Cricetulus griseus: one gene and its partner. The protein of the gene in region 1 purifies or fractionates together with the protein of each later gene. This does not show direct contact. Links are inferred from orthologs where the notes say so. Each region holds a gene or a part of one and is shown on either strand. Other genes may lie near its edges.

Region 1 (15,151 bases):
CTGAAATTACAAGTGTGAGCCACCACACCTGGCAAGAGGATGCATTTTATGTAATTCTTTTCAGTCTTTACTTGACATTAAAGCAGCAGGTTAAGTGAGCTGGTAGAAGTGATTCAGATACTGAAATAAATACTTGACCACACAGAATTTTGTGATTTTTTTTTTTTAAAGCACTTTCTTGAAGGTTTACACAGGCAACTGTGAGTGGTCCCCAGGCTTGGTGTCTGAAAGGTCTTACTATCATGTCCAGAATGAGCTTGGCTTTCTGTGTTCTTCTCCCCTACAACTCACATAGTCAAGTTTGTAGTTTAGAATATAAATACAACAAGCATTGTTGCAGAGTATTAATAGAATTTTTTAGAATGAAAGCTAGTTTTTCTTCTTAAGGGCATATTTGTAGCAGTAAAATACTGAAACTGCTCGTTTTGTCTTTCTTCCTTCTAGCTATAATTTCTCAGTATGTTTCCACTGACTGAAGAAAACAAGCATGTGGCCCGGTTGTTGTTCAGTTCTGGTACCTGTCCGAGATGTATCTTCAGATTCTGTGGTGTGGATCTTCATGGACCTTACAAACGCCCATCCAAGGTATTTTCTTTTTAAATTAAGGAATGTCTTTTTATAGTTATAATGAATGACACTAGCTTTGGGTATAGTGGTCGAAAGAAGGAAAATTAATAAAACTATTCTTACTAAGGTAATTTTGGAACTGCAGTTACCTTAAACATTTGATGTAGTAATACAGTTGTTTTTTATTACATTGCCATTTAATAGTTAGTGTAGAGCGGGATCTTTGCTGGAATTTTTTGCTATATTCATTATTTGTATAGACATTTTATAAAGGTCATATAAACAAAATAACACAAGATAATGAATGGGTCTTACCTGACATTAATGCTGTGCAACAGGAGGGGGCAGGTCATAGTCCTGGTTGCTTCTTTTAAATAGAAAATGAGTTTGGTTCCTTTTTTTAAATTAAATTTTATATTATTTTTATGAGTATGTGCATATATATGAGTATGGTGTATATGTGCACGCCAGTGTGTGTGTGTGTGCGTGTGTGTATGTCTGCTTGCTCACACAGATGTTTATGTGGAAGTTAGTTCTCTCCTTCCACCAAAGACCTTGGGAAATCAAGCAGGTTAGTAGGCTTGTGTGCCAAGTGCTTTTACGCAACAGGCCGTGTTGCTTGTCTTGGTTATTTCCCTTGCCATGCATTAGCATTTATGTGTATATGTTCATATGTATTCTTCTGGTGCTGGGCATTGAACCCAGTTCTTCACATGTGCCAGTGAATCATGGCACTGATCCATGTCCCCAGCCTACCACTTGTTTCATTCAGTGAAGAGGATATGTTCTGATAATGTGTCCTTTGATGACTTTATGCTTGTTTGAACCTCATGGAGTATACTTAAATGAAGATGCAGTGTACCAGGCAGTGTAATCTAGGGCCCACCATCCACAACCTGCAGCCTGCATCGTCAGGAATATTGTTTGATAGCTGGCTGTGTCAGAAAGCCTTTAAAAGTAAGTGCTTAGCGTAATCATTATTCCTGATACTAGCAACACAAGAACCTTTCAGAATTTTCCACATTTACATTAACACATAGAGAGCTGTGCTGTTGAATAGATTATCTTCACATTAAAGTATAGGATATGCCTGTGACATATGGTTGATACTAACAGTGACATTCTTTTCAAAGGCAAATAATTGTATACATGTGTAAATATATACATTTATACACACATCCTCAATTTATTTTAAAAATTGGTAATAAATGATGCAGCAATTACTATTGTTTTCTATATCATTGTGTTGTTTCTACTATGTTAGAAATAACAATCGTTCCTAGTGTTTGTCTAGTGTGTTACTACATGTCAAGATTTCATTTAATCTTCTGTAAGTACATGCAGTGATTATCTCTATTTTCAGATGAAGCGACTGAAGCATAGAGAAGTTAAGCAGCCTGCCCAAAGTTAAACAGCTATTAAATGAGCAAGCTAGGAATTGAACACTGTGTCTGAATCCAGAGCCTAGGACTGGAGCTAGAAGACGTGAATTGACTCTCAGTTCCACCACTGCACAGCTTCAGTTTACTTGTTTGTACATGGGAATGGTGATAAGATCTTCTTCACAAGGTTTTAAGGACATGATCTGTTTAGTATGTGAAAGTAAAAGCAAATGGAAACCAGACGTGTCACATATGTAGTGAAAGTTGCTATGTGTGTAAATGCTCAGCTTATGTCCAGCTTTGTGTAGTCTTCCTTATATACTTTTTCCACACATGCCACACTATATATATATATGTACTGGATTCAAAATACATTTTGGAGAGAGAGAGAGAGAGAGAGAAAGAGAGAGAGAGAGAGAGAGAGAGAGGCTGATTGCTGGCAACTTTGACTTGTAATATTCTTTGTGAATAAATATAAACAAAATATTTGAAGGCTTTTTTGAAATGTTTTAACTTTTGTTTTGTTCCAGTCACATAGCTGTACATGAGCACACACATGTACATACTATGTTATACTCATCTTACAGATGTTAGGTAGTAGTCAACACTCGTGTGGGTCATAATATACCTGTATGTGTGAATTTTTTGTGAAAATTGGAGTGCTAATACATCAACAAAGTGAACTTAATGTTTGAATGAAAGCATTTTCTTAAGTTAGTACAGTCTAACTGAATTCAAACAGTTTATCCTACAACTGAACAGTCAAACTGGCCTGATTTGGAAAAAGTCCAAGAAAAATTCTTAGCTTTAGATGGGGGAGTAGCAGAAGTGTTGGAGTGTTTTTTAAAGGGAGGCTTGTTTTTACATTCTAATACAAGGAATTAACAGAAATTAGAGAAAAAATATAGAAGAGGGCTTAATGGATATAAATGGATTATAATTGTGGTGCTAAATTTTAGCACTGCCAAATCTATGTATTTTGGTAAACGGTCTCAAAAAGTGTCTTTACTTGCTCAACCTTTAAATGATGCGGTTTCACATTAACTAATTCACTGTGCTGTGAGGTGTTAAATAACTTAGCTTGTACTTTCCTGTGTGCGTGTATCTGTCTGTCTGTCTGTCTCTTTGTTGTTGGAGCTGGAACCCAGGGCTTCATGCACACTAAGCAGGGATTCCACCACTAAGCTGCATCTGCATCCTAGTTTATATTTTTATGTTTTAATAATTAGAATTGAATTAGTTTCTTTTTTTTTAAAAATTAGTAGCGGAATGACCTTCCCAATAGAACTACAAGCCACATTTGTAAATTTGTTGATGGAAACTTTCTGCTTAAGATTAGAGTTTTAGCTTCACTGTTTTGTGAAATTCTTTTCAAAAAACACTCACATATGTAATATATATAATTGGCATTTGATTAGTGTATGGATTAAATGCGTTAGTAATAAATTCAAAGTCACCAGGAACACATTAGTGTTGCATTAAGGACAGAAATCAAAGCTCTTCTCCTTGGTGTCATTTAACCAAGAGGGAGCCCAGATTTGAATTCTCTACTTTGTTCTCATTGTGTCTTTGTCATTCTCTGTCTCTCTCGCGTGTGAGCCAGAATTTGTACCCACCCAAAAGCTGTCTTGTAAATTTATTATCCCTATATCTGTGTCTGTCCTTGTGTATTTGTTCCTAACAAAGGGCTTTGTTCTCTTTTATTTTTTAAAATATATTTTAAATTTTATTTTTAATTGTGTGTGTGTGTGTGTGTGTGTGTGTGTGTGTGTGTGTGTGTGTGTGTGTTTGTGTGTGTGTAAATGTATGCCATGTGTGTGGGTGCCTGTGGAGGCCAGATGCATTGGATTCCCTGGGGCTGGAGTTACACAGTTGTGAGCCACCTGAAGTGGTCCTCTGGAAGAATAGTACATGTTCCTTACCACTGAACCATCTCTCTAACTACTACTTTTATTGAACAGCATAGAAATCATCACATGGAGAAGGAATGAGTAATACTTTACAGAAATACTTAACAATTTTATAAGGAGTTAATTCCAACTGACCCAGATAGCAAACACTAGCAGGTAGTAGCTGAATGTTGCTTTCAGCATTTATGGTGGACATTCATTTTATAAGGCTGTTTTTAGCTTATTTGCCATTTTTTAGCAGATGATTATCATACACATGCAAACACGTGTGCATTACTCTTAGGTCAAGGGTATGAGAGAGCACATTAGCTTATGTTATAGAGGATTACTTGGGAAAGCCAAGGCAAATGAGGTTGGTTGTTGGTTGTTCCCCTAAAAACAGGTTAAACAGATAGTCTGGCCACACAGTAGGACAGCGGTCTGAAGTGACTTCAAGGTACCCTATCAACTTTGACTGAGTTCCAACAAAAGTTTCAGTCTCTTAGAATGTTAGAAATATTTCTATCACAATGCGTCTCCACAGGTTATTTTCTCAGATTTCTTAGAAAGCCACTGCTGTAATAAACTGGTTACTCCTGAAGTGATATAAACCAATGTTGTATGAGTCTGTGCTGTTATAATCCTCTCTATACCTTGTTTTGAGACAGGGCCTCACTATGTAGCCCTGGGTGCTTGAACTCACAAGGTTCTGCTGCCATGGCCTCTAAGTGCTCTAGTGGGACCAGAGGGCTGGGACCCAGGACAGGCATTGCCAGGTGGGGCAGTATATGCCTTTAATCCCAGTGCTCAAAGGTAGGCAGATCTCTTATGTGTTACTGATGACTGAATTTATTATTAATGAATTTAATCCACATACCAATCAAATGCCTACTTTACATGTGTATGTTTTTCCAAAAGATTTTCACAAATCAGTGAAGCTAAAATCCTAATCTTAAGTAGAAAGTTTCCATCAACAATTTACAAATCTGGCTTGTAGTTCTTTTGGGAAGGTCATTCACTGTGAATTTAAAAAAAGAAGACACATATTGCCACCTGGCTGACTTTCACACTTCATCTTATGAACCTCAAAGCCATTTTAAAATGTTACTGCTTTTTCTTAACTTTTCAGGAGTTGTTCAATGATCTACAGAAATTTCTAGAAACTGAAAAAGATGAGTTAATTTTGGAGCTTCCAAACCCACCACTGAAGAAAATTCGTCTTCAAGAAGACGGAATGGATAATTTGAGTGGAAATGGAGAAGAGGGGAGCTCTGCCACAGAAGATGAAATCATTGCCTCTGAGGCTTCAGATTTGCGTGTATGCAATGTTTGCTTAGGAATCCTTCAAGAGTTCTGCGAGAAAGAGTTTGTAGCAAAGGTAAACAATCTGTCTCTCATAGATCAGAGACCGTGTTAACCTGAGAGCTAGGATTCCTATACCCACGAGTCCTAAACAGTACCATCCATTTCAACTTGGCCTATACCAGTTGATTGCTGGTCTCTTCTTAATTAGAAAAGACCAAGTATTCTGAGATTGTCATATCACATATTGTGAAATTAATAAGAGCTGTCTGACATGCAACAAACTGTTCTGAAGCTGACACTTGTGTAGGGTGAGAACTATCAAATGCTGATGTCAGGATGTCTATGAAGAGTGGTCCGCTCAAATGGATCAGTTTTGTTTGTTTGCCTTTGTTTTGGGCGGTGCTAGAGAGTGGCTTGACATGAGCTAGGCAACACAGCACTACTGAGCCTTAGCCCCCAGCTCCTAGGTGAATATTGGGGAGTTGTGCAATGTCATCTCCTGGGAGGAATTTTATGATTAGAGCTACATTTTCAGCAATGCTTGGAAGTTTACATATTTGTAATTCTCTTTTAGGTGTGTCAAAAGGTTGAAGCCTCTGGGTTTGAATTCACCAGCATGGTTTTATCGGTTTCCTTCCCACCACAGCTGTCTGTGAGAGAGGTAAGGCCATTTGCATACTTCAGAGCATGTGTGAAATATATGCTGTGCATTTCTAACTTCTAAACCAAAAACAAGCAAAATTGGGAATAGAGGCTCACACTTGTAATCTCAGCACTTGGTCTGAAAGTTGGATGGTGAGGAGTTTGAGGCCATCCTGGGCAGGCTGTGTGTACAGACCGAGGTTGCAGAAGAGTTGCATGATGGCACATGAGCAAGCATGGCCAGAAATGCCTTACACAGTTGGTTTTGAATGAATTTTTGTTCTCAATTTTTTTTTTCTTGCAACCCCTCCACCTTCAGTTATGTGACCCCAGATGTGGTTGCCATCCACAGTCTAAGAAGCTGGGTTGACAAAAATACCATTGAGCTAAAAGTACATAATTTGAGAACTTTCAAATTTTAAGTTTCTTCTCCTAGATCCTGGTTAGGGTTTCTAATGCTGTGAAGAAACATCATTACCATGGCAACTCTTAAAAGAAAACCATTTAATAGTGGTAGCTCACTTACAGTTCTAGAGGTTTAGTCCATTATCATCATGGAGGGACATGGAAGCTTACAGGCACACATGGTGCTGGAGAAGGAGCTGAGAGTCCTACATCTTGATCTGAAGGCAGCAGAAGCAACCGTGTCACTGAGAGTAGCTTGAGCACAGGAAACCTCAAAGCTTACCCCCTTAGTGACACACTTCCTCCAACAAAGCCACATCTACTCCAAGGCCACACCTCCTTATAGAGCCACTCCCTATGGAAGTCATTTTCTTTCAAACCACAATGTTCTTAAACTTTTTAACATGCATAAGATTTATTTATAGCTAGGCATAGTGGCTTCTGTTCCTAATCCCAGTATTCAGGAGGCGGAGATAGAAGGGTTGTCAGGAATTTGAGCCCAACCTGGTGGATTTTCCAAGAACTATTCCACAGATTTATATGTATTCAGTCAGGTGAGGTCTAGGAATTTGCATTGTAACCATATTCACTGGTGCTATTGTTACAAAGACTACAGCTTGAAAAATTAATACTCTTAATTTTTTTTTACATTTTACATTTTTTAGTGTGTGTGTGTACATTTTTTAGTGTGTGTGTGTGTGTGTGTGTGTGTGTGTGTGTGTATACAGGTGTAGAAGTCAAGACAACTTGCAGTAATTGATTTTGTCTTTCTGTCATGTGGGTCTTAGGTATTGAACTCAACAGGTGCCTTTACCTGCTGAACCATCTTGCCAGCTCAAAATTAAGAATTAAGAAAAAAAAAAGAATTATGTTCTTGAGAGGTGGGGAGAAGGACATGGGATATACATTTTGGATAGGTGAATTTCAAACAATGCAAGAAAAAACTGGCATAAGCATCTGGGCTAAAAGATAAGTTATAAATCTTAGGAAGTTCAGAGAAAGCAAAAATTCAGATTTTAATCCAAACCAAACTATTCTAATCAATAAAAGAAAGTTTAGAGAAAAATCCCCATAAAGAATTGGGAAGCTAAGTATGGTAATTTATGCCTGTAAATGCATCACTTGGGAAGCTGAGGCAGGGTGGCTGCTATGAGCTTGAGGCCAGACTGGACAACATGGGAAAAGTATGCCTCAAGAAATAGTAACTTAGAAAGAGTAAAAATGAGAAATGAGGTGTATGCCTGAGACTAGGGGATCAGGAATTCGTCTTAGGTTATATAGTAAGATCCTGTTGAGAGGTAGAGGAGGGAGAAGAGGCATTTTTTTTTCTTTTATGAAACTAAAGAAAAATATTGTGAGTAGCTTGATTGCTCAAACTGAACAATCAAGTTTTATTTTGCAAAGTTGAGATCAGTTACAAAAAAACCAAAACAAAACAAAAAACCAAAAATGACAGAGTCACATTAATGCAGATTTAAGGAGGAGGCTTCGATCTGTTAGAATAGCAACCAGAAAACTGGCCCATCCAGTGAATGAAGCTTGCAAGAATTGCTAAGGGAGATCTGTGTAGGTCAGGGGATAGGGGACAGGCCTGTTTGGAAGGCTCATACACTGCAGATGGATGGTGGAGAGAAAGCCGAGTTCTAAAACCCCTACTTTGCTTCTGGCCTTTCTGTCAGGGAAATGTGATCTTTCTCAAAAGCAAGAAGTTGAATGATCATTTTAGGGAAAATGAAGGCTGCACAAAGTGAAGCTTTCCTAAGTGTGTTCAAGCATTCTGGCTTAATAAATTGCATTTCAAGATAGATTTAAAGCAGCCTGCAGCCACCCGTGATCCTCTGGGATTCTAGAAGGCGGCTCTTCCCAAGCGGTTGCAGACAAAGTGAATAATTCTGAAAATGAACAGCTGGTGAGCTTATTGCAAACCTCGGTAAGATTCTGGACTAGGAGCTCCAGGGGTGAACTGTGGGCACTAAGCCGGAGCAAGAACAACACAGAACAAGGTAGAACATGGTGGCAGCAGTACCTGCTGGCTGATGGACCACTCTTCTTTCTCATAACTTCCTAAAAGTGGCTGGAAAACAGGCAGGGCCTAGATGTGATTGGCTGGACTATCTGTATCCAAAAGAAGCTGAATGAATGACTTGTGCTAAGGTGGGCAGTGCTCCTAAGCATGGCCCGAAGGTCAGCCACATACCACTCCACTCAGGAAAGACGTTGAGAATAATTGCTGGGCCTTAACTTTCTCTCCTCCCAAATCCTAATCTCCAAAGGTAAGATGAGGAAGCCCTTTGCTGACACCTGCACCTGGGAACACAAGTGTCACTGAGGTTCAGGGAGAGTCTCGATGTGCATCAGGACTCTTTCCCACTCTCTCTGAATGGTTTCTTGTAGTGAAGGTGTGGTGAGAACCCTCACTGTGAGCTACATGGCACAGGGCTGAGAGTGCAGCCCACATGCTGAATGTTATAGTTACCTCACAAAAGCTTATGAACAAGAGCAGTCAAAAAAGAGGAGATAATAAGAATAAATATGGGTTCTTATGATTGAGTTTAAATGCAACTGCCAACTAAAGGAATGACTTACATGTTGACAGAGACATCTCAGGAATGTAGGTGAGAACTGGTTAAAGAGACAATGAGCTAATTGGATGATACAAAGTGGGATACAATGTAGATAATGTTTGGATCTTAGCCCAACTGTGATGAAAAGGGGACAGTTGTGTTTGCTTAATGCTCCTGTTCTTAGATTTCTGCTTGAGAAGAAACAAAGATGGGTTTATGGCTGGTCCATATTCAGAAGGTAGACTCAGGATGGAGGTAATTCTCATCCCAAAAGATTTAGAGAGGATAAGTTTTCTAACACGGATTAAACCGAGGGCCCGTGACCACCTGGCAGGTATGAAGAAGGAAAGAAAAGCCTTTTTTCAGCTATATTAATACTGTTGCATTACCTCTCCTGGTAAATCTACATCTTTTCAGTTCAGATAAAAAGGCAATGATTAATGATTCCAGCCAGTGAGCTTGGTGAGCCAGGAAGTTTACTGGGATTACTTATAGGTGACTCAGGCAGCTGTGTCTGAAAAGGCTACCTCAGCAAGAATGGTGACTCATGAAAGCTGCATCATGGAGTCCCTATACAACCTGCACCCAGCTGAGTGTCTCTTGTCTTCCTGAACTTGTTTGCTGTTTATCTGGTCTCTCCTGGGGAACCTCATGAGTCTTGTAACTTTTGTGAGCTTCCTGAGTGTTGTTAGTTTACTGTTTCTTTTCCTCTTTTTCTTTCTTCCTTTTCTTTTCTTTCTTTTTGGTTTTTCGAGACAGGGTTTCTCTGTAGCTTTGGAACCTGTTGTATAGTGTATGTCACAGGGGTGTGTGTGTGTGTGTGTGTGTGTGTGTGTGTGTGTGTGTGTGTGTGTGTGTGTGTCCTATGTCACAGGTGTGATGTGCCTGTGGAAGTCAGGACAGCTTGCAGGAGTCAGTTCTTTCCTTAAAATGCAAGTCCTAGAGCTCAAGTATTGTTGTTAGGCTTGAACATGAGCCTCAAAAGTGTCTGTCCCTTTTGTGAGAGAATGTTTCAATCTAGAGGAAATGGCTACACAATAGTCTCCTCTTCCTGCTGGCTTTTACACCCTCTGCCCCATCCTCTATGATGTTCCCAGGCCTTGGTGGGGAGGAACAATGTAAATGTGTGATTATTGTTCTGTTTTTCTGGCTGAGCCTTGGGTCACATTGCCACAGCAGTAGACAATTATTCTCAGACATTTGACTATTGAGTTGCTGCAATAACCATCTTCCAAAAGAGAAATTTCCTTTCATTATTGAGGCTGAGTGCAGCAGCAGTCTTTGGGTATAAACACAAATGTTTGGAAATCAGTTGATACCTCACATCTGTTTAATGAAACAGTAACAACTCCCCATTGTAGCCTGTGACCTCAATAACAAGTGTTTGTCTTGGTCCTGCAGCACTGTATAGGGTTCCTTCCTGTGATGTGAGCCTTAATCCCCCGGATTTTTGCTGCTGCTGTTGTCCTGCATTCATGGTTGGCTTCTGCACACCATTAGCACTACACTGAAGTTGCTAATGGAAGAATGCCCCAGAGTAGTGTCAGGCTAAACTTGTCTTGCTAATTCTTTGAGGTTTATCTTTACCAGTTGAGTCCAGCAGAGGGCGGTATTATACCACCAGTTTGGTTCATTTCCCATTGCTCACCCTAGTGACCTGGTTAAATGAATTATGCTGTCTCATAAATGTTATTCTGATCATATGAAACACCCTGCTTCTCAATATGCAGTATGGTACAGTTGGAGTTTTGTTTTTCATATCAAAATATTCTATTTCTTTTCTTCATGCTTTGCACTAAATACCAATTCTGTAGCAGCACTTTTTTACTTAAGAAATTATCTTTTCTTAAAATTTTATAAATGAATTTTTTTTTGAGACAGGGTTTCTCTGTGTAGCTTTGGAGCCTATCCTGGCACTCACTCTGGAGACCAGGCTGGCCTCAAACTCACAGAGATCCGCCTGCCTCTGCCTCCCGAGTGCTGGGACTAAAGGCGTGGGCCAGCCAACACCTGGCTGAATATCTTTTAAAGTTGGCTTTACTTAAATTTGTGGGTTCCTTATTATGTTGGACCCATTGGTCTCATTTAGGATCTGAAGAAAAATTTGAAACCCTTTGTCCTAAGAATGCACAGACTCACCTGGCATAGTGCAATTCACAAGAATCACTGAGAAGGCTGACAGGATTGTGAGGCCAGTACTTTCTAGGGTGATGTAGTGATGCCCTATATTAAATCAAAGAAAGGGAAAAGAGAATGCATACTCAGTTTTGTGTATATTTACAGATCTAGGACTTTTCTGAGTTGGATTCTTCAATAAAACTTTCCCCTTTGCAAATGTCCATACTTATTCTAAAGGACAGTGGTTTTCCTAATTATGTTTAGTTCATAGTTCCAACTTCAAACATAGAGAACCAATCATTTAAGATTGTAATGTGTGTGTGGGCTTGAATTGACTGTCTTCTGACTCAGCAGTTAGATTTTTTCTTTCTCTCCATTTTCCATGCTTTTTCAACTTATAATTTGTATGGCAGACATCCCTTCTAGACATATGACACACCCAAGGTCCATTTTAGTTTGCAGCTCTTTCAGAGCTCAGAAAGGCAGTTTACAGTTGGTTTTAGCATCAGTGACTCTACTTTTGGTTCAGTTAATTGGTTAGAACTTACTTCGATCTCTGCAAGATCTGTGGTCCAGGGATTTAAAGTTCACAGGCTGCAGTGTGTGTGTGTGTGTAGAGCCAGAGGTCAACCTTGGAGTTCTTCAGGAGCACGAGACAAGGTGTCTGACTGACCTGGGCTGGGCTTTGCCAGTTTGGCTAAGCTGGCTGGCTGGCCAGAGCTCCTGGAATCCATCTGTCACCGCTGCATGCCAGCATTACATGGGGATCAAAATCAAGTCCTTAGCTTTGGTAGTGGTGAGCACTTGACTGACGGCCACTTTCGCACAGCTGTGAGTGCACTCAGAAGCCAGAGGAGGTCTGGTGTTCCTGCCCTAGTTAGTGCCTTGAGACAGTCCTCCCATTGTATGTAAGGCTAGGGTGACAGCCTCCTGTCCTCACACCCCACAGAACTGGGATTACATATTCATATGCAGCCACAGGTGGCCTCTTAAGTAGGTACAGGAGATCTGAACTCATTCTGCCCTTGTCCACTGGACCATCTTTCCTGTCCCAGGCTACAACTTGAAAAGTCCTTCATAGCACACAAATACATTCGTGCAGCTATCCAAATCCATCTTCCTATACAATGTAATTCCAAGAGCTTGCCTCTGTAGGTATACCAACACATATAGCTTTGCACTGTTAAGAGTCATAGAGAAGCCAGGAGGGTGACTCATCAAGTTAACACCTGTCCCCATGCCCAAAGACCTGAGTTCAGTCTCTGGGACCTGCATGGAGGAAGGGAGAGAACCAGTGCTCACAGATTGTCCTTTGACCTCAACATGCACACCATGGCATGCACAAATGCCCATGTACACACATGTAGACACACACAAAATAAAATATAGTAATAGTAAAAGAGTTATGGACTTATAGGTCTTTAGGAACTTTGCTAGTCATCTAGAACAGGGCTTCTTAGCTTCTAATGGCATTTATTTTAGAAGATGTTAGTCATGTTCTGTGATTTATCTCAGACTCTCTCTCTAGGTGCACACGCATTCATACCTGTTGAGAATGTCTGGAAGAGAGTCTGTGCATTCCCCACCTTTCTGTATATGGTGATTGCCACCATTTAAAAGTTGTCACCATGTGTGTATATGTGAGCTGTGTTGGGGGAGGGAGCTCATGCCACAGCGAGTATGGGTTCCTGTGGTGATATATTGTTTATGATTTAATGAAGCCACTGAAGACCAGAAAAGCAGCGCAGCCAACTACTAGCTCTTACCTCTACCTCAGACCAAAATGGGTGATACTGTCTCCACAAGTCCTCAGAGTACAATGCAGACCGCAATCCCTGAGTTCCTGTCTCCTCCTGCTTTATATTCCTTTCTTCACCCTCCTGTCTCCACTCCCTTGTGCTGGGATTAAAGGTGTGAGCTCTGTTACTCTTTAGACTGATTCACTCTCATGTAGCTCAGGGGGCCTTGAACTCACAGAGATCCATCTGCCTCTGTCTCCTGGAGACCTGGGATTAAAGGTGTGGCCACCACTGCCTAGTTTCTATGACTAACTAGAATGGCTGCTGGAATTAAAGGTGACTCTCTATTGCTGTGGCTAACTTTTTGCATTTTGATCTCCAGTGGCTTTACTAAATCATAAATAATATATATCCACAGGTTCCAGGGATCCATCTCACTTTGCCAGGCTTACACAGCAAGCACCTTTACCTGCCAAGCCATCTAGCCAAGTTTTTTTCTAAATTAGTATTGCATTTATTAATTTATTGTGTTTGAATGTACATATGTATGTGTACATGTGTGTATGCCAAGGTATATATGTGCTGGTCAGAAGACAACTTTAGGAGTCAGTTCTCTCCTTCTACCTATGGGTCCTAAGGATTGGATTCTGGTCATCAAGCTTAGAGGTAAGTGTCTTTACCTGTTGAGCCATCTCAGTGGCCTTCTTCAAGTTTAATGTGTCTGTAATGTGTGGGTTAGCAAGAAGGTAATTTTTTCCTCATCCTTAAGGGTAGTGGCCATGTGTGTAGCCATCTCATTCCCATTTGAAGAAGAAAAACGAATGCTAATAGAGGTTATGTAACATCCCATGTCATGTTTAGTGGAATTTGAATGTTTTTCCACTCCTTTAAAAAAGTTTTTAAAGTCACATTATCTCTTCATCTTGTAAATTTATGTGTATTTTGCTTTACGTGGTTATCTTGGCTCCATGTGAATGACCTTTTCTTAACTTCTCAAAAAATTTTTTTAATTAAAAATTTTTTTTCATTTTACATACCAACCCCATTTCCCCACCCTCCCTTCTCCTGCCCCCCACCTCCACCCATCCCACCCACCCCTATCCACTCCTCAGAGAGGGCAAGGCCTCCCTTCCTGGGGAGTCAAAAAATTTTGTCTAGCATGACAAGTTGAGGCAGGACCAAACCCCTCCCCCCGGCAACAAGTCTGAGCAAGGTATCCCACCGTAGGAAATGGGTTCCAAAAAGCCAGTTCATGTACTCGGGACAAGTCCTGATTCTACTGCCACCTTGCCCCCCCCCCAACAGATCAAGCTACATAACTGTCACCCACATTCAGAGGGCTTAGTTCGGTCCCATGCAGGATCCCAGTTATCAGTCCATAGTCTGTGAGCTCCCACTAGCTTGGGTCAGCTGTCTCTATGGTTTTCTCCAGTCATGATCTTGACACCCTCCCCCTTGCTCATATAATCCTTCCTACCTCTCTTTAACTGAACTCCAGGAGCTCAGCCCAGTGCTTGGCTGTGGATCACTCCATCTGCTCCCATCAGTTACTGGGTGTGGGTTCTATGATGACAATTAGGGTGGTTACTAATCTGATTATAGGGGAAGGCCAGTTCAAGCTCCCTCTCCACTATTGCTGGGAGTCTTAGCTGGGGTCAGCCTTGTAGGTTCCCAGGAGCTTCCTAGCACCAGGTTTCTTTTCAGCCCCATAATGTCTCCCTCTACCAAGATACTTCTTTCCCTACTCTCTGTCTCCGTCCCTCCCTCAGCTCAGCCATCTCGAATCCTCATGCTCCCATCCCCTATCCCATCTCAAATTGTTTTTGTTATTTAGTGAAGTGGTATTTTCATAATGTGTCATTTATACTTTGTGTTAACTCAAGCAGTGGTCAAGTAGGGCTGGATCATCATGGAAATATATGTTGGACCTCAGAATGCAGCTGAAAGCATATTCAAGCATATATTTTAAATGTGTAAAGATAAATGCGCGTGCACGCACACATACACACACACACACTTACTTTCTTGTCTTTTTTTTTTCTTGGCCTGTCTCCAGCTAGTCTAGGTGGAGGAAGAACAAGAAGGAAGAGGTTGCTATGGTTTTCCACTGTGTGGATGTGCAGGCTGCATTAAGAACATGAACAGCCCTTAAAAATGTGACATTTCCTGTTTGAATTTGCATGGTCCTATCCCTGTGAATTATCACATAGCATCTTTAGAAGTTATAGGAAGAAATGGTAGTATAACAGACTTTAAAGGAAAACAGGATGAAGCAAATCCCTTAAAACTCTTTCTCTAGTGAATATATCATATTACACATGGCCACTCACCAACTGTGGGGATCCTTATGAGATCGTTTGGGGTAAATTAATTTTTAGGACTGTGGCCTAGTACATTAAGTGTCAAAAAAGGGAACTTCTAATTTAGGCTCTTCCTATTTCTGATTTGAGTTTTCACGTCACACAGAGAAGTCATGCCAACCATCTTTTAAAAATATTTTTATTTTGACTGATAAAATGACTTTGCTTTAGATTTAGTAA
Region 2 (15,735 bases), on another chromosome or scaffold:
AATGCCCCAATCCTTTTAGCATCAAAACTTACTTCTCTGAATTGTCATACCCATAATCCTCACTCAAAGGAGTGAGGATTTTTAGAGGAACACAGCCCTATGAATTTTTAGAGGAACACAGCCCTATGCATTTTTTGAGGAACACAGCCCTATGCATTCCTCAATGCTTTCAAAGTTAGAAAATGAGTATGTTCCAAGTACTTCTAGGATCATACGCTGTTAAAACTCCAACTCCCGGGCTGAAGGAATGGCTCAGCAGTTAAGAGCACTGGCTGCTCTTCCAGAGGTCCTGAGTTCAATTCCCAGCAACCACATGGTGGCAGCATCACAACCACCTGTAATGAGATCTGGTGCCCTCTTCTGGTCTGTAGGCACACATGCAGGCAGAACACTGTATATATAATAAATAAATAAATTAAAAACAAAAAACAAAAAACAAAACAAAAAAAACCCCTCCAACTCCCCTAGCTCGATGAATTCAACTTTTCCCCATCCACATATGTGCTAAGGGTCCTACGGTACAACACTGAGCATGTCCTAATATTATGATCATTGTTTCATTTTTCTCCTCCTTGCTCTTCTACCCTTCTTCAGGCTAATCATCCTGAATAGGACACATAATATGTAGCTAACTAAGAAGAAGATTAAATAAACCTGTACACATAGCTGTAACTGAACAAGTCCAAACTGAAAATCAAACTCATTATCTCCTGATGTTTTCATAAACAGGTCCTTAGAAGCACATGAAATGCAACCTGAAAAACAGAGAACCTGCTACTCTTTTACCAAAAAACAGCTCACCCTGGTTTGAAAATTACTGTCACCTGTTTCCACAAGCTAAAACTGTCTGCCTCTTTTTCACTCACTTTCACATTGAGGCATTCACTGGTTATCATCGCAGCTCTCAATATACAAACGAATCCTTTATACAATACCTACGATCCGTTATGTGACTTGCGTCACAAATTGCAAAATGTCACCCGCCCCCCCCCACCCCGCGAAGACAAAAGACTACACAATCACTGCCACCACAGAAATCACCGCTTAGGCATGCCAAGCAAGTAAGCACGGGATACACTACTCCACAGAAAAGCCTCAGATTCGATAAAGGGCCCTCAGCACGGCACTGCAGCCTCGGTTATCTATCCCCTTCCATGGCGGCCTAACCAATTCCTGATAGAGGTTTTATTTCCAAGCTGCAAGAAATCCCGCCGCAGGGGGACCCGACCCTCATCCCCGAGCTGTGCCCCAGGATGGCCTGAGGGAACAAGTGTGCAGAAAGCATCCGAAACTCGAGAGAGGCGGGCCACGCCGCCCAGCCAGCACGCACAGGCAGAAGCGCATGGATCTATCTCCCTTGCACAAGGATCGTCCTGGACAGGCAGGACCAGGCCGCGCGCAGCGGCTCGTACTGGCTCCGGCGAACGCTCACCTGAGATGCCCTCGCGGGACTACACCCTCGTCTCAGTCCGCGGCTCCGAGCTCTCACGACGCACTAGGCTTGGGACGGAACCGCCAATGTGCTCGGGAGACACAGACACGAACCACGGATGGGCCAAACCCACGGTCTAGCACAAGAAAGGCGGCGCTAGGCGTGGCGTCACCAGCTAGGCGCGTCGGCGTGACGTCATCACGTAGGCCGAGCTCACCTCTTTAGTAGCTCTCAGGAGCTTAATCTGGCAGTCCAGAAGTAGTGGGGTCGTGCTGTGTGCTGCCTGCTGTCCGTCAGCCCTCTGGCTCCCGGTTGTATTTGTCCCACTGTTGAGTGTTGGCCCCACAGTGCCTGAGACTGGGGTGGAGGCGGGTGGGGAGGAGAGAGTCTGGCGAGCTGCGCGCCTGCGCATAGAGCTACCACGCGGCAAGTACATCTTTCTGGCCTGGACCGGCAGAATGGAAGAGCTCGGGTACCCAGAGGCGGGGTTGACGGGGCCAGAGGTAGCCGTGGCTACCGAGCCCGCGGCGCCCTCCCTTGTGGATCGATACTTCACTCGCTGGTATAAAGCGGGTAAGTGCGAATGATAGTGAGCTTTGCCCTACCGCGTGGACGGGATGCCGTGGAGACTCCTGCTCCACGATGTAATCGTCCATGCTCTTCTCCGAGCTTCCTAGTTCCAGGAATACAGGTTTGCACTGTTGGAGAACTAAAATGGTCGCATCCGATGTGGGAAGCACAGTGCCATGTGTGGGTTGCTTGCAGGAAAGGACATAAGCTAAACTAAGGAACCCGGCGTTGGTCTTTCTGAGCTTACACTGCCTAGTGTTTGTGTGCCTGTGGGGATCAATCCTAGGCCGAGGCGGGAAGAAAGTTTAGGCTGGAGAGAACATTAACAGAAGTTAAGCAAGCAATATTTAGTGTTAAGATCTTATTTTCCACTTGTAGTTTCGAAGTAAGCTACCCAGGTGTTCTGTTTTTGTATGCCCAGAAAATATCGATGCCACCTTTGGGAATTCTTCTCCAACCTTCCTCTATTTTAGCCTTTTTATTTCAAGCAAACTGATGGATGGACAACACACCAACAGATAAAGACTGGGCCAAATTTAGGATAAGCAGCTCTCCTCAGGACTGAATTTTCCCCAAATGTGATTTTGCATAACTCCAAGACAGCCCTTGAGGCTGGAGAGATGGCTCAGCCTTTAAGAGCACTGACAGTTCTTCCAGAGGACCTGGATTGAATTCCCAGCATCCATATGGCAGGTTCCCACTGCCTGTAACCAGTTCCAGGGGGATACAACAGCCTCACATAGACAAATATGCAGGCAAAACACCAATGCACATAAAATAAAAATAAATAAACCATTTTTTTAAAAAAAGCCCCACCGGGCATTGGTGGCACAAGCATTTCATCCCAGCACTTGGGAGGCAAAGGAAGGAGGATCTCTCTGAATTCGAGGCCAGCCTGGTCTATAGAGCAAGTGCCAGGATAGGCAGCAAAGCTACACAGTGAAACACTGTCTCGAAAAACCAAAATAAATAAATAAAGCCCTCCAAAACAACAAAACAATGTAAGCAATGTGGTGCTTACAATAGTGTTTCTCTAATAGAAACAATTGGTATATTCGTTTTAAAGTGACAAGATGGAGGAGTTAATAACCTTACCATAGAATAAATGATTCTATCTGGATTAGGCTACTTAAGCACCCCGTAGCCTTTATTTGACTACTGTCATCAGCATGAGTCTTAGCCTCATAATGAACTATCTCCATGAACCAAAGAAGGTAATCACATGATAATAGCAGATACCAATTCAAGAACCAACAATTCATTTGTTCCTCTAGATGTCAAAGGAAAACCCAGTGAGGACCACTGTATACTACAACACTCCAACCGGTAAGCAAACCAAGAATTTAAATTATCAACACTTTCTTCTGGTGGTTACTCTTGGGCTGGATATAAGCAATTGTCTTCTGCTGTGTTGATATAGGAGTGTGATGGCAAGTACAAGTCTTGTTCAGTCATTTACTAATTTAGCCAACTTGTGCCAACCATTGAAGTGCCAAAACCTATGGAATAGGTTTGTCATGCCTTGTCTCCCACCTACCCCAGGGTTATCGTAAGACCTGTGGTACTGTTCCTTTTCCCAGGAAGGAAATTCAATCCTATTTTCTCCTGTTCCCTTATTATATTCCTCATGCTACAATTACAGTCAAGAGAAAGAAATAATAATTGGACTGAATGAAGGTCAGTTGGATAGTCATCTCTCAATGAGAATACTGTTATAGGAGGAAGTCTCCACATGCAGTAACAGAATTGCCTTTTTTCCTCCTTGTAGAATATGTGTCATCACGCTGGCAGGATCTCACCCCGTTCTTCAAAGTGGCAAAACTATTAAAAGTATTTCCTATCAGATCAGTACCAACTGTAGCAGACTTCAGAACAAAGTATCTGGGAAATTTAAGCGGGTATGTCCCTGTAGAGAGAGAGAGAGAGAGAGAGAGAGAGAGAGAGAGAGAGAGAGAGAGAGAGAAGAAGAAGAAGAAGAAGAAGAAAAGGTACTCAGGAGGTATAATGTCTATTATAGTAGATTCTGTGCTCTCATTCTTTCCTAAAGAGATAAGATGGAATATGAGCCTTTACCTGGTATCCCAGCTCTTGGGTAGCTGAGGTAGCACAATCGGAAGAATGAGCTCTATACTATATAGATATATAGTAAGTACCAGCTGGATAAGGCTATATAACAAAACTCCTCAAAACAAGAAAGGATCTTGGCTCCAACAGCCTATGTTCACTTTAGGAAAAGTTGGTAAAAAGAGGGCATTAAGCACTCTCATTTGCCTGCTTATAGATAGTTGTCACACCCCTGATTCACCCACCTTCCAGAGCATCTAATACAACCATATGTGCTATCAAGTAGTGTACTAAAATATGGCACAAATGGTTAAAAGGCATGTATTTAAGTTAGCTTTGTAGGGTTTATTTAAACATATTGTTTTTATTTTTATTCATGTGTATGTGTATGGGAGCCTTCAGAGGTAGAAAGAGCTTGTCAAATCCCCTAGAACTGAAGTAAAGATAGTTGTGAGCTACCAGATGTGGGTGCTGGGAACTGAACCTGGTTCTTCTTCAAGGGCAGGGAATAGTCTTAGCTTCTACGCTATCTCCCCAGCCCACTAGTTTTATCTTTTAGTTAGAAAAGTACTCCTTCAAAAAGTCTTGTGGAGTGGTTGACCCTGTAAGGAAGTTCCTTTACCTACTAATTTCTAATATAACAGATAGGGATCTTTTGGATATTTTCAGGTTTTGTTTTGAGACAGGTTCTCAACTCTATAACCCTGTCTAACCTGTATGCCACTACACCCCATAGAAGATAGGGATCTTAATGAAACTATGTAGAACATTGCTGCCATATGTTGTATTGAATTTTATCTTGTAGGTTGATTGCAATTTGATTACCGTATGGGTTGAAATCTTTATACCTGGCCATATATAGATTTCTCATTTGCAATTGAAAAATACATCATTAGCCTGTAACTAAACTACCCACTAAAAGATGGTACCTAGCACATAGTAGGTTGTTACGTTGAAGTGCATGAGTAGTTTTATGCACTTAAATCATTTTTCTATAAAACACCAGTTCTAAGACTAGATCCTGTTTTAATAGTGAGGGGTGTACCAGAGGGAAATGAAAACACAGTTAATTTGCTTCTTTTATCTCATTACCCAGGGGGCACAGTTTTTAACAGAACTCGCACCTCTGTGTAAGATTCACTGCTCTGATGGAGAAGAATATACCATATCTAGGTAAGCAGTGTTTTAGCTACCGAAACACAAATGCCCGTGTTCACTATAGTAAAAAATTACTGGCAATTTTTTCTAAAAATTCTTTTTTAAAAATAGCTGTGTTAGAGGTCGATTGATGGAAGTGAATGAAAATATTCTTCATCAGCCGTCTCTTCTTCAAGAAAAGGTAAAGGAGAGGTGGGGAAAGCATGATGCTGTCCATGTGCCTTTTAGAGGTCAGTTGACAATACTAAATGTTCTGTTTCCCCCCAGCCCTCCACTGAAGGCTACATTGCAGTTGTATTGCCCAAATTTGAAGAAAGTAAAAGCATAACAGAAGGGTTACTAACACAGCAACAGTATGAAGAAGTCATAGTAAAAAGAAATAATCCTACAGCCACATCATGAGCCCTGAGATGGAGAGACAGCAAAGGATTCTCACCCTGCTTGGCCTCAACCGTCAGTTCACTGAAGAAAGCAAGTGTATGTGAAGTATTCCTCACACATGGCCACAGGAGAAGCCTAATCCTTCATCTAACCTAATTCCCCTCCTTTGTCTTAACATCACAAGCCTTGGTCCCCATTTGTAGTCAAGCTCTAGGATCTACTTTGCCTAGGTACTTGCTTTGGGTGTTTGCTTGCATATGTACATCAGAAAACAACTTTGAGTTTTTACCTTTTGTTAGACATGCTCTCATTGGCTTAGAACTTTGCCATGAAGTTCCAGGGAGACACCCATCACCTCTGCCTCCCATCTTGCAAGGCTAGTATTACAAGTACACACACCATACCCAGCTTTTATATGGGCCAGAAACCCCAAACTCAGGTCTTCATGTGTTCAAGGTGTATTACTTTTCAGTGTCTGTGATTGATAAAATACCATAACCAAAAGCAACTTCAACAAGTGTTTATTTGGGTTGTAGTTCTAGAATACTAGATGTCCACCCTAGTAGGAAGGAATGGTATCAAGAGCAGGACGCTGAGAGATCACATCTCCACCATACACAAAAAGCAGAAAGTAAACTGGAAGTAGGGTAAGGTTATTAACTGCCCCTAGTCATGTAATTCCCCAGCAAGACTTCTTGTACTAAAAGTTCTGCAACCTGGGGACCAACTGCTCAAATACATAAAGACTTTTTTTTTTAAATCAATCTTCATTCTTCTCATGATCCCTATAAGCCCATAGCCATGTCATGCAAAATGCAATTAATCCAATATCAAAAATCACCATAGTCATTCCTTCTCTGAAGTCCAAAGTCTCTTCTAAGACTCAATGCAGTCTCTTGTGTCCCTGAGTAAATCAAAAAACCAGTTACATACTTCCAACATACAATGGCACAGAATATGCGTTCCCATTCCAAAAGGAAGGAATGATGGGCATAGTGAGGAAATACTGAACCAAAGCAAGACAGAAACCAGCAAATTCTGCAGCTGCATGTCCACTATCTACGGGTTTGGTTTCAAAGGAATTAGTTGACTGCCCCTCCAGCATTGCTGCCTGCATCATAGATATTTTTCTGCATTGTTCTGTTCTGTGTGCAACCCTCCTTGGCAAGATGTTTCACAGCTTTGGTATGTCCAGTGTCTTTGGGCCTGCACTACAACCCAGCTCCATGTGTCCTCTCATGGCCTTCTTGCAGAAACTCCATCTCTACCATATGCTGCTTGGCCTCTAGCTTCCTGAAGCAAAGAAGGAAGAATCCAGAATCCGTTCATTCTTTTATGCCTCCAAAGCTAATATCATGAGGAAAATACTTGATCATATCCACAGCAGCTCTTGTGTTATGTTGTTTCTAGGAGCAAACAGCCAGTATATTAGGCTGTCTTTCATAGATTGGAGGTTTATCTGGGTGGAGTCTTGCCTTAGCCAGCTGTCCCACTGTTCTAGTGTAGAGCAGACTTCTCTTTTTTTTTCCTTAAATATATGTGTATATATATGCATGCATGCATGCTCTATCTGGATATATGCCTGAATTCCAGAAGAGGGCATCAGATCCCATTATAGATAGTTGTGAGCCACCAAGTGGTAACACAAAAAAACACAATCAGTGACCCAGAGACAGATATGAGAGTTCAGCCTAAAGATCAGGGAAGCAAAGCAGCCAAGCTGCCAGAAAGCTCTTACCTCTAAAAGGGCTGAGGCGTTCCTATTCTCAATGTGGATGGAGAATGAATGCCTTATACTAACACCTTGCTCTTGTCTTATATACCTCCCTAATGCTGGGAATAAAGGCATGTGATCCCAGGTGCTGAGATCATCTTTGTGAGAGCTGTTTCTCTTTAGGAATGGATCAGTCTTGCATAGATCTAGGTGACCTTGGATTCACAGAGATCAGTCTACCTCTTAATCCTGAGTGTGTACTACCACCTCCTAGCTTCTGACTGCTAGGATTAAAGGTATGTGCCTGGCTTCTATGGTGTGTGGCTGACTTTGCTTCCTGAATCCTCAGGCAGGCTTTAATAAATCATAAATAATATTTCACCACACTAAGCGGTTGCCAGGAATTGAACTCAGTACCTTTGGAAGAGCCACCCATGCTCTTAGCCACTGAGCCATCTCTGCAGCCCTAGAGCAGGCTTCTTAATAGCACTAATCTCTGGTAATGACAGTCTTTCCCAGCACATGACTTCCTTGTGCTCTTTTCTCCATGTTGCACATTTTGTATTTTTGCTAGACATGTTCATTTTGTTTTTTCTTTTTCTTTCCCTTTTTATGTTGTCTTGACACAGGGTTTCTCTGTGTAGCTTTGGAGCCTGTCCTGGAACTCCTTCTGTAGACCAGGCTGGCCTCAAACTCACAGAGATCGGCCTGCCTCTGCCTCCCAAGTGCTGGGATTAAAGGCGTGTGCCTCAGCCACCTAGCTTGACATGCTCATTTCATTGGTCAAAGTTACACTATCTTAAATATCTATTGCCAGAGAAAGTAGTCCATTACTTAAATTCAGCTTCATGTCAGTTCTCAGGACTTGGGTAAAAAGTAACCAGATTCTTTGTCAAAGGGTAACAAAACTGGCATCTAGCCACTTTGCTTTGTTTCTCTCCAAAACCTAGGAGCCAGGCCTCTACTTAGGTTCAGAACAGAAAATCTTGTTTCACAATGCTCTCATTATTCAACCATTTTTCTGGCCCAGAGTTCCAGTCTTCCAAATTCTTCCAAAAAACAACATGGTCACATTTTTTTCACAGCAACAACCTCACGTCTTGGTACCAAAGTCTCTATTAATTACCTGTCTGTTGCTGTGATAAAACACCATGACCAAAGCAACTTAAGAGGTTTTCTTGGCTTGTGGTTCCAGGGGGTTAGATGTCCATGGCAGCAGGCACAAGGAGCTGAGATCAGACCACCACACACTGGAGGCACAGTGAAGTGGGAATGGATCAAGGTTATAAACTCAAAGCCTGCCCCCAGTGACATGTTTCATCCAGCAAGTCTCTACATCCTAAAGTTTGTAACAGCCCCCTACAATGCCACCAGCTAGGGACCAAGGGTTCTGAATACATGAGACCATGGGGAACATTTCTCCTTCAATCTACAACAGGAGGCACACACAAATGGCAAACAAGGAATATTTTTCTGATTAAAAACACAAGCTCTTGAGAAATATTTTGAAAAGTTTTGCATTCCTATAACCTGGGAGTAAGTAGTACCTATTAACATAGCTCCTGCTTGAATGCTATGGTACACTTACTTCTTCTGCCTCAACTTTTTTTTAATGTGTTTTCCCACATGTATGCATGTGCAGTATGTTTGTGTAATGCCTGTAGATGCCAAAAGAAGACATCAGACTCCTTGGAATTGAAATTACAGATGGTTTGTGAGCCACCATGTAGGTGCTAGGAAGTGAACCCAGGTCCCCTGGAAAGGCAGCCAATGCTATTAATCTGTAAGCCATCTCCAGCCCCTTGCCTTAATTATTTTTTAATAATTAAGTCCAGCCCTGTCCCTTCTGCTGTGGCTTTTCCCCTCTAGGTTGCTGGAGAAACAGGAATGTGGAGTCTGCCTTCTATTCTACATGGAAATGCTTTGAAAATGTACAAGGCTCTTCTAAGAAATGGAAGAATTATGCTGCAGTGTGGAGCTGGCTCCTGCTAATGCATAGTGGTGACTCTATCGTGCACGTTTTATTGACAGCTAGTTTGTAGTAATGAAGGTATGTCAGTCTGTCATGCGGAGGCATAGATGTCTTAGCACAGAGCAAGGGTTTTACATTATCTAATTAGAAAAAAAAAAACAGCTATGAAGTTCTGGTTTTAGATTAAACATTTACACTGAATTTAAAACAAAAAGACCTTAAATCATGAAACTTTGTAAAGGGCGCAACATGTAGTAACTGTCAGTCATTTCCCTGTTTTTAATGAAATAATTGTAAGTACAGCCAAGCAGAGTTTATTGAAAAGAAAGAAGTAGCTCCCTGTAACCTGGAGGGGATTAAAACTAAATTTCCTTTAAATAAAGTAGTTTTATACAGATGAAAGCCTGATTTGTAAGTTCTGTCCTCTTGTCTGTTGACATCATTTTACCCTGTTTCCTCACCACCACCCCCAGGAGCCTAATTATACTTTCGGGTGTGTAAAGGTATTCTGTAAATATTTATAAGGAAATTTTCAAAAATATTTTTTTAGTTCACAAGAGAAAGTTCTTATAACCTGAGTGACAGTGTCGGTGATGGGATGAAAATTAAGCACACAGCAACAGAGCCTCACTTAGAGTGGCAGAAAAATTCTCAGAGACTCATGCTGAGAGTCCATATCTGTTGCAAAGTTGTATCTTTCTTCACTATTTTTATTACAAGTTAAAAGAATGTTTTGTTTCACAGACTAAAAACCATGCTAGACACAAAATGGTAAGGTTGCAAGGGCACTTTTAATTTTATTACTGATCAGTATGTTCTCACCTCAATGGATCAAAATTAAACCAGTTGGTATGAATTCAGTTACTGTACATAATTTTTATTGAAGTGTACATTGCCATGTTTAATACTAATTAATAAGCCTTATTTTGTTGACCAAAATAATGACATTGTTACCACATACCTGGTGGCCCTTAACAGTTTTATTGAGGGATCTGCTTTATTGCTAAAATATTTCCACCGAAATCCAGTAAAGTTAGCATCCTGCTTCTCAGTTTAAAAAGTAGTCAGAATTTTCACTTGTATAAGTTGGTAACAATCTTATTTCACAGGAGATGGTTCCATTCAATCATGCCCTATAACAGCCATCTGCAAGATTACTCCACTGCTTTAGAATGAATGCTTGTGTTGACATCTGCAATGGTAGCTAAAGAAATACTTAGCATTCCAGCCACTATCCAGGACTATGTGGTCAGCTATGCATACTACAGCTAGAATAAAAAGCCATTTCCTCTTCTGACTTTGCTCCAGGATTCTTTGGAGTGACTTCTGTTATTTTTCCTTTCTGGAGCATGCAAGGGACAGATGTAGCCTAATAACCTTACTAGGTGAAATGCTTGTTAGAAGCAACAGTGCTAGGAAGGCTGTGACCAAGCATTTGAGGGACCCTTAGCCTGCATCAACAAGAATTGAAGAAGAGTCCACAGGTCTAAGAAAAACTCTGCATTCAACCAGGCCACTTTTTATTTTCTGCTGAAATTAGTGTTGTAGATAATCAGCTTAAATAAAAGAGTTAGGGTGCCAAAAGGGAGTATGCATTCACGGTTGCGTCTTTGGGATTCAGCTGTCGTTAAGACAGTTGAGATATTTGGTGTGTGCTGAGGAACATTCTGAACAGTGTCTACTTTAAAATTGCACTGCCATTAGAATCTTAGCAACTGCCACAGCAATGACTGTGGTTAAGCTCTCTAATCTGAGGGGAAAAAAAGAGAGATTTCAGCATTCTCTTTAGAAAACAGATGAATTTCTGAAAGAACAAAGGATCAATTGCTTTTTTAAAAGGTCAGCTGTGCCACATGATATTCCAGAGATGAACTGCAGGCTGCTCAGGTTTTACCATCCATGATATCTTTTTTCGTCACTGAGACCCACCTGTTACTTTCCACCTGGAGGAAAGGGTTAAGACAATTAGCTTGAGCTGTGCTCTGAGAACAAACTACAAAGTATTAGTGCACACACTGTTGTTTTCCATTAAGTTAGTAAGAAAAGGTTGAATACAAAAAACCATCTCACCTTCTTCAGTAACTTATAGCAAAGTGACAGGAGCTGGACCACGAGAGCCATCATGGATCTTATCTTTGTAATACACTTGTCAACCTGTGGTTACAAAGCATGCATGTCATTCTAAAAACAGTACTTCAAAAATGTTACCTATTTGGTTTTACAGTGGTGAAGTTTCTCCGTCATGGAAATCTAAGAGATCTTGAAAGGTGTAGATCAGGGTACTTTGAGGCTCCAGAACACAGCACTGACTACTTGATTTCGTGCCTATTTCATGGAACCCCAGGAAAGAGGGTTTTACTTAAGCTATGATGAACATCTCAAAACACTCTACACACTGACAGTGCACCCCCTACTTGGCAATTCTTAACACTCTGCCCAAACTCCTGAGGCAAAAACAACCAGTTAAGGACTCGGAGGTAGCTGCTCAGTGCTAGGAACTAGTCTGCAGTCTGAAATCTAATTTTGGTGACTGCCCCCCCAGGTCAGTCACAGAGCTGCTGCTTTTAGACAAGCATGAAACAGGCTTTCTGTGCACTTAGCACAAAGGGCTGGAACTAACCTGATAAGGAGATGGACGTGAAATGTTCTCAAGTGTTTCCCCAAAAACCCACCCTCTGCTTTACCTTGAGGAACACTTTATTCTGCAAAGACGTCTTAGTTATTGTCTGGAGCTGGTGGCATAGAGGAATTAGCTTGTTTATTTCCAGGAGAAGCATAAGTTTGTCATCATCTTTTAGCTGAAATGTAATTTAGGAAGTTATTGCAACCACAACAAAACTCCATCTTTTATACTTTTTTACCCTTTTAGATAGCATCTCACATGTAGCCCTGGCTGATCTGGTACTCACTATGTAGACCAGGCTGGCCTCAAACACATAGAGACCCACCACTGTCTTCATCTTTTGAGTGTTAAACCATACCTAACCTACCTCTCTCTTTTTTCCTTAGTGCTTGATTTTTTAAATACAAAACTAAGATCATGAAACAGTATTTGTTTGATAATGATGTATAATTTCCACAAATCATAAATATTTGTCATATTTTGTCTTTTGTGGTACTGCAGATAGAACCCAGGACTTTGTGCATACTAGACAAGGTCTCCCACTGGGTTAGATCCATCCCCACAAGGAATATTTATAATCACACAAAAATGTACACAATATAACAGAGTAACAAAAATGGAATAACATAACAGAATGTTCTCTGAATTTGTGCCTAGCCTAGATCTTATGTACCTTTGTGTTAGTAATAGGATTCCAGTGTTAGTATGTGAAATCACTAGCCCCGGACAGGTAGACATGCATTACCTGTTTTGAAAATGACTGTACATTTGAAGTAAGTTTTAATCCCTCTGCAGCAAAACCCTGGTAGAGAAGGAAAACAGCAATGAGATCAGTGTCTTCTGGATGGCTGGTAAATAAATATGCCCAATTATCTCACAGAGTTAGAAAATAACCCAGACATTAAGATTAGCCCCAGAGCTCCTAACTTTTTTATTGTACCATGGGAAACACCAGGGTTTAGCTGAAATCAGAAATTTTCCCAGAGCTAATCAAAATCCTCCGAGAGGCTCCTCTATACATAGAGACATCCAGTTATTCTGCAGAGCTACACAGACCTGGGACCCGCAGCCACACAATTAACAATTCCTTTCTGAAGGGATCCCTGAACCATTTCATAAGATCTCCAGTTACAGAGGGGAGTCATTTTTCTTCAGGGTGCAGCCCCTGGTCACTTGTCATAACCTCACACCTGTACACATGCTAGCAACCCCAATTAAATAGTGAGTTTAAAAAAAAAAGATGAGAGTAGGGAGGACATGACCTGAGAAGAAGGAAAGCAAGTTCCTGAGGGCGAGGAAAGAGGGTAAGAGAAAGGAATGCAGGGGGGAGAGTAAGATCAAAATGCATTGTGTACGTGTAGAAAGAAAATGGTGAAAAAATAAGCCTTTTTTTTTTTTTTTTTTGAATCCTCAAGTATAAGAGTCATGAATCCTGGAGAATGAGGTCAGGTTAGAATTCTGCTGCTTCCACCTATCCATAACCAAATTTGCTTCCAGACACTGGCTATCTGAGAGGACCAATCCAGACTGTTAGATTTTGTTCAAATTTTCAGATTTTGTTTGTTCACCTTGCATTTTACAATTAAGAGAACAGGACTAGGGAGAGGAGCTAAAACCTAGGCCAGACAAGTTTGAGTAATAGTCAGGGCACATTAAAATGAAGAACACATGAGACACTTTAAAACTTCGCCTCAGGGGCTGCAGAGATGGCTCGGCTGGAAAGAGCACTTGCTATCCTTTCAGTTCCCAGCACCGAGCTACCCACAACCACCTGTCATTTCAGCTCTGGGAAACCTGACACCCTCTTCTGGCCTCTGAGGACAGCTGCACAGTGGCATTCAGACACATTTGTGCACACATGCACTCATGTACAAGTGCATACAAATAACAATAATAAACCTTTTTACAATGCTACCATAGCAGTAAGGGATGAGGGCAGATGTACCTGACAACAGTAATAAGGCAAAGATCAGAATAATTTAGGAAGAAAAATAGTCCTGGTAGTTAACTAGGTAAAGAATATGGAAAGAGAAAGGGTGAACTTTGACCTTCTAGTCACCAGCTTACTACCTTGCCATTGCTGGTTAACATGATTTCAAGGTGAAATAGCTCCCTTTGCACTTTTTCCAGCCCTGGAAGGGGAACCAGCAGCTTTCTGTTAGCTTCGGTGGGCACTGAATGATTTACTTCCCTACATCCCTCATTATTCCACACTCTCACAGTTCTCACAACGCTGCTGTGTCTGTCTCACTGAGTGTCACAGTTGTAAAAGCACATTAAAGCCAAGAACTCCCCAAACTCTGTCCAACCTGACATTGACCTTTGCCTTCAACATGATGCTTGATTTCCTGCTTCTCAGCCCTGAGTGGACTCCCCAGCATCACACTTGAAAACAAAAGAACAGTAAGGTTCTGCAGAGATGCCATGCCTGCCACCACTTCACTGTGGCTCAGCACCACCTCTGCACGGCCTCCTGAATCTTTCCTGTGCATCTGGTATCACCGCCATTGCACTCGTTCCGCCTGTGAAATGTTCTCACCCCACATACCCTTCCAACTCTCCCTTCAATAGCGAGCCTACTCAGAAGGCACCTTAGAGAAGTCTTTCCAAGCACCCCCACCACCTTTCTCTCTTTATCCTACATGATCTTATCTCTCTGAGTACTTGGGAAAACAAAACATACCTCTAGAAAGTGAATTAAGTCGTGCGACGTTTTCAGTGGCCCCTCTCCTCTAAAATAGAAGTTATTAGAAGACAAATATTACCTGTACATTGGTTTATGTAACATTTATGTTTTAGAGCATTCTGTATATTAGCAGAATTCAATTTTTTAAAGGAAAACATGAACACACTGATAATATTGTGACTTTTTCTTGAAATAACTATTATTTACTAAGTTAAAATTATATATGTTAATTTCATAACATAAAAAAAACTGAAAGTGGACAGTTAATTAGTGCTCTTTGTCCTTTTTATTTTGCTTCATGAATAAATACATGATATCTGGTAATATGTCTGAACCAAAATACATTTCTTATGCAATCAAAAGAGCAGACCAAAAGCCACTAAGTCCACAGGTCAAATGTCAGCCCTGGCAGGAACTCATCTACAGCTTCAATGAAGCATATATAAAATTCCAGTTCTAGATATAGAAAATAATCATAGTACAACTTGTGTTGACAAGTTTTATCAAGGAGTTTAAAAGCTACCAGTAATTAAGAACAATGAACAAAATGAAAGTAAATTCCAGCAGAATTCATTAGAGGGTGATGGTCGAGGCACAAATCAGAGGATGAGCACTCCAGTAGCAATGCCTGCACTTAACAGGTATGAGGGCCAGTAAATCCTTCCTGATCTGATGAAATGCTGAGAGGGGCAACCCGAGCCGTGACACAAACCCATATTAAAGTTATAAAGAACTGACAATTTTGAAAAAACATTGAAAGTTACTAGATATCTTCAATATTTATTAAGAACTGTGAATTGTTATATAGAAATCATTATTAATAGATTATATAAATGATTACAATGATTTCAAACAATAGCCTGAGGAAGGGCTATAGACATGCCCAGGAAAACTACAAATCTCTTCAAGACTGAAGGCTAGCAACTGGGCTTGCAAGGAGTACCTAGATTAGCTTGGTAAAGCATGGGACTTAAGGGAAATGGAAGAGACAGTTGAGGAAACGTGCAGACACTGCAGTAAAGTAACAACATGTGCTTTGACCACAAGGAGATAATTACATTATAGAGACCTGCCTAAGTGAACAAGTCATTATACATTCGTGTGCTACAGGAATTCTGTTTTCCTGAACCTTATT

What was found.
Region 2: the proteins of Pus10 (region 1) and Abitram purify together in Homo sapiens (affinity purification with mass spectrometry; 3 studies listed by BioGRID and IntAct, counting the BioPlex papers as one, with this or other methods). This does not show direct contact. The link is inferred for Cricetulus griseus from reciprocal best matches to the Homo sapiens genes PUS10 and ABITRAM.

Annotation. Positions count from the first base shown.
Region 1 is NW_023276807.1:83,094,312-83,109,462, reverse strand, and holds part of Pus10 (tRNA pseudouridine synthase Pus10), read left to right. Parts: intron 1-444; 5' UTR 445-459; coding exon 460-585; intron 586-4,967; coding exon 4,968-5,216; intron 5,217-5,717; coding exon 5,718-5,804; intron 5,805-15,151. UniProt on the Homo sapiens protein: Protein with different functions depending on its subcellular location: involved in miRNA processing in the nucleus and acts as a tRNA pseudouridylate synthase in the cytoplasm.
Region 2 is NC_048595.1:87,073,543-87,089,277, reverse strand, and holds Abitram (protein Abitram), read left to right. Parts: upstream 1-1,860; 5' UTR 1,861-1,890; coding exon 1,891-2,005; intron 2,006-3,276; coding exon 3,277-3,328; intron 3,329-3,770; coding exon 3,771-3,900; intron 3,901-5,162; coding exon 5,163-5,239; intron 5,240-5,335; coding exon 5,336-5,405; intron 5,406-5,491; coding exon 5,492-5,626; 3' UTR 5,627-6,113; downstream 6,114-15,735. Other genes in the region: Ctnnal1 (alpha-catulin), read right to left, coding at 11,175-11,234, 11,362-11,445, 11,976-12,089, 12,660-12,716, 14,598-14,646. UniProt on the Homo sapiens protein: Actin-binding protein that regulates actin polymerization, filopodia dynamics and increases the branching of proximal dendrites of developing neurons.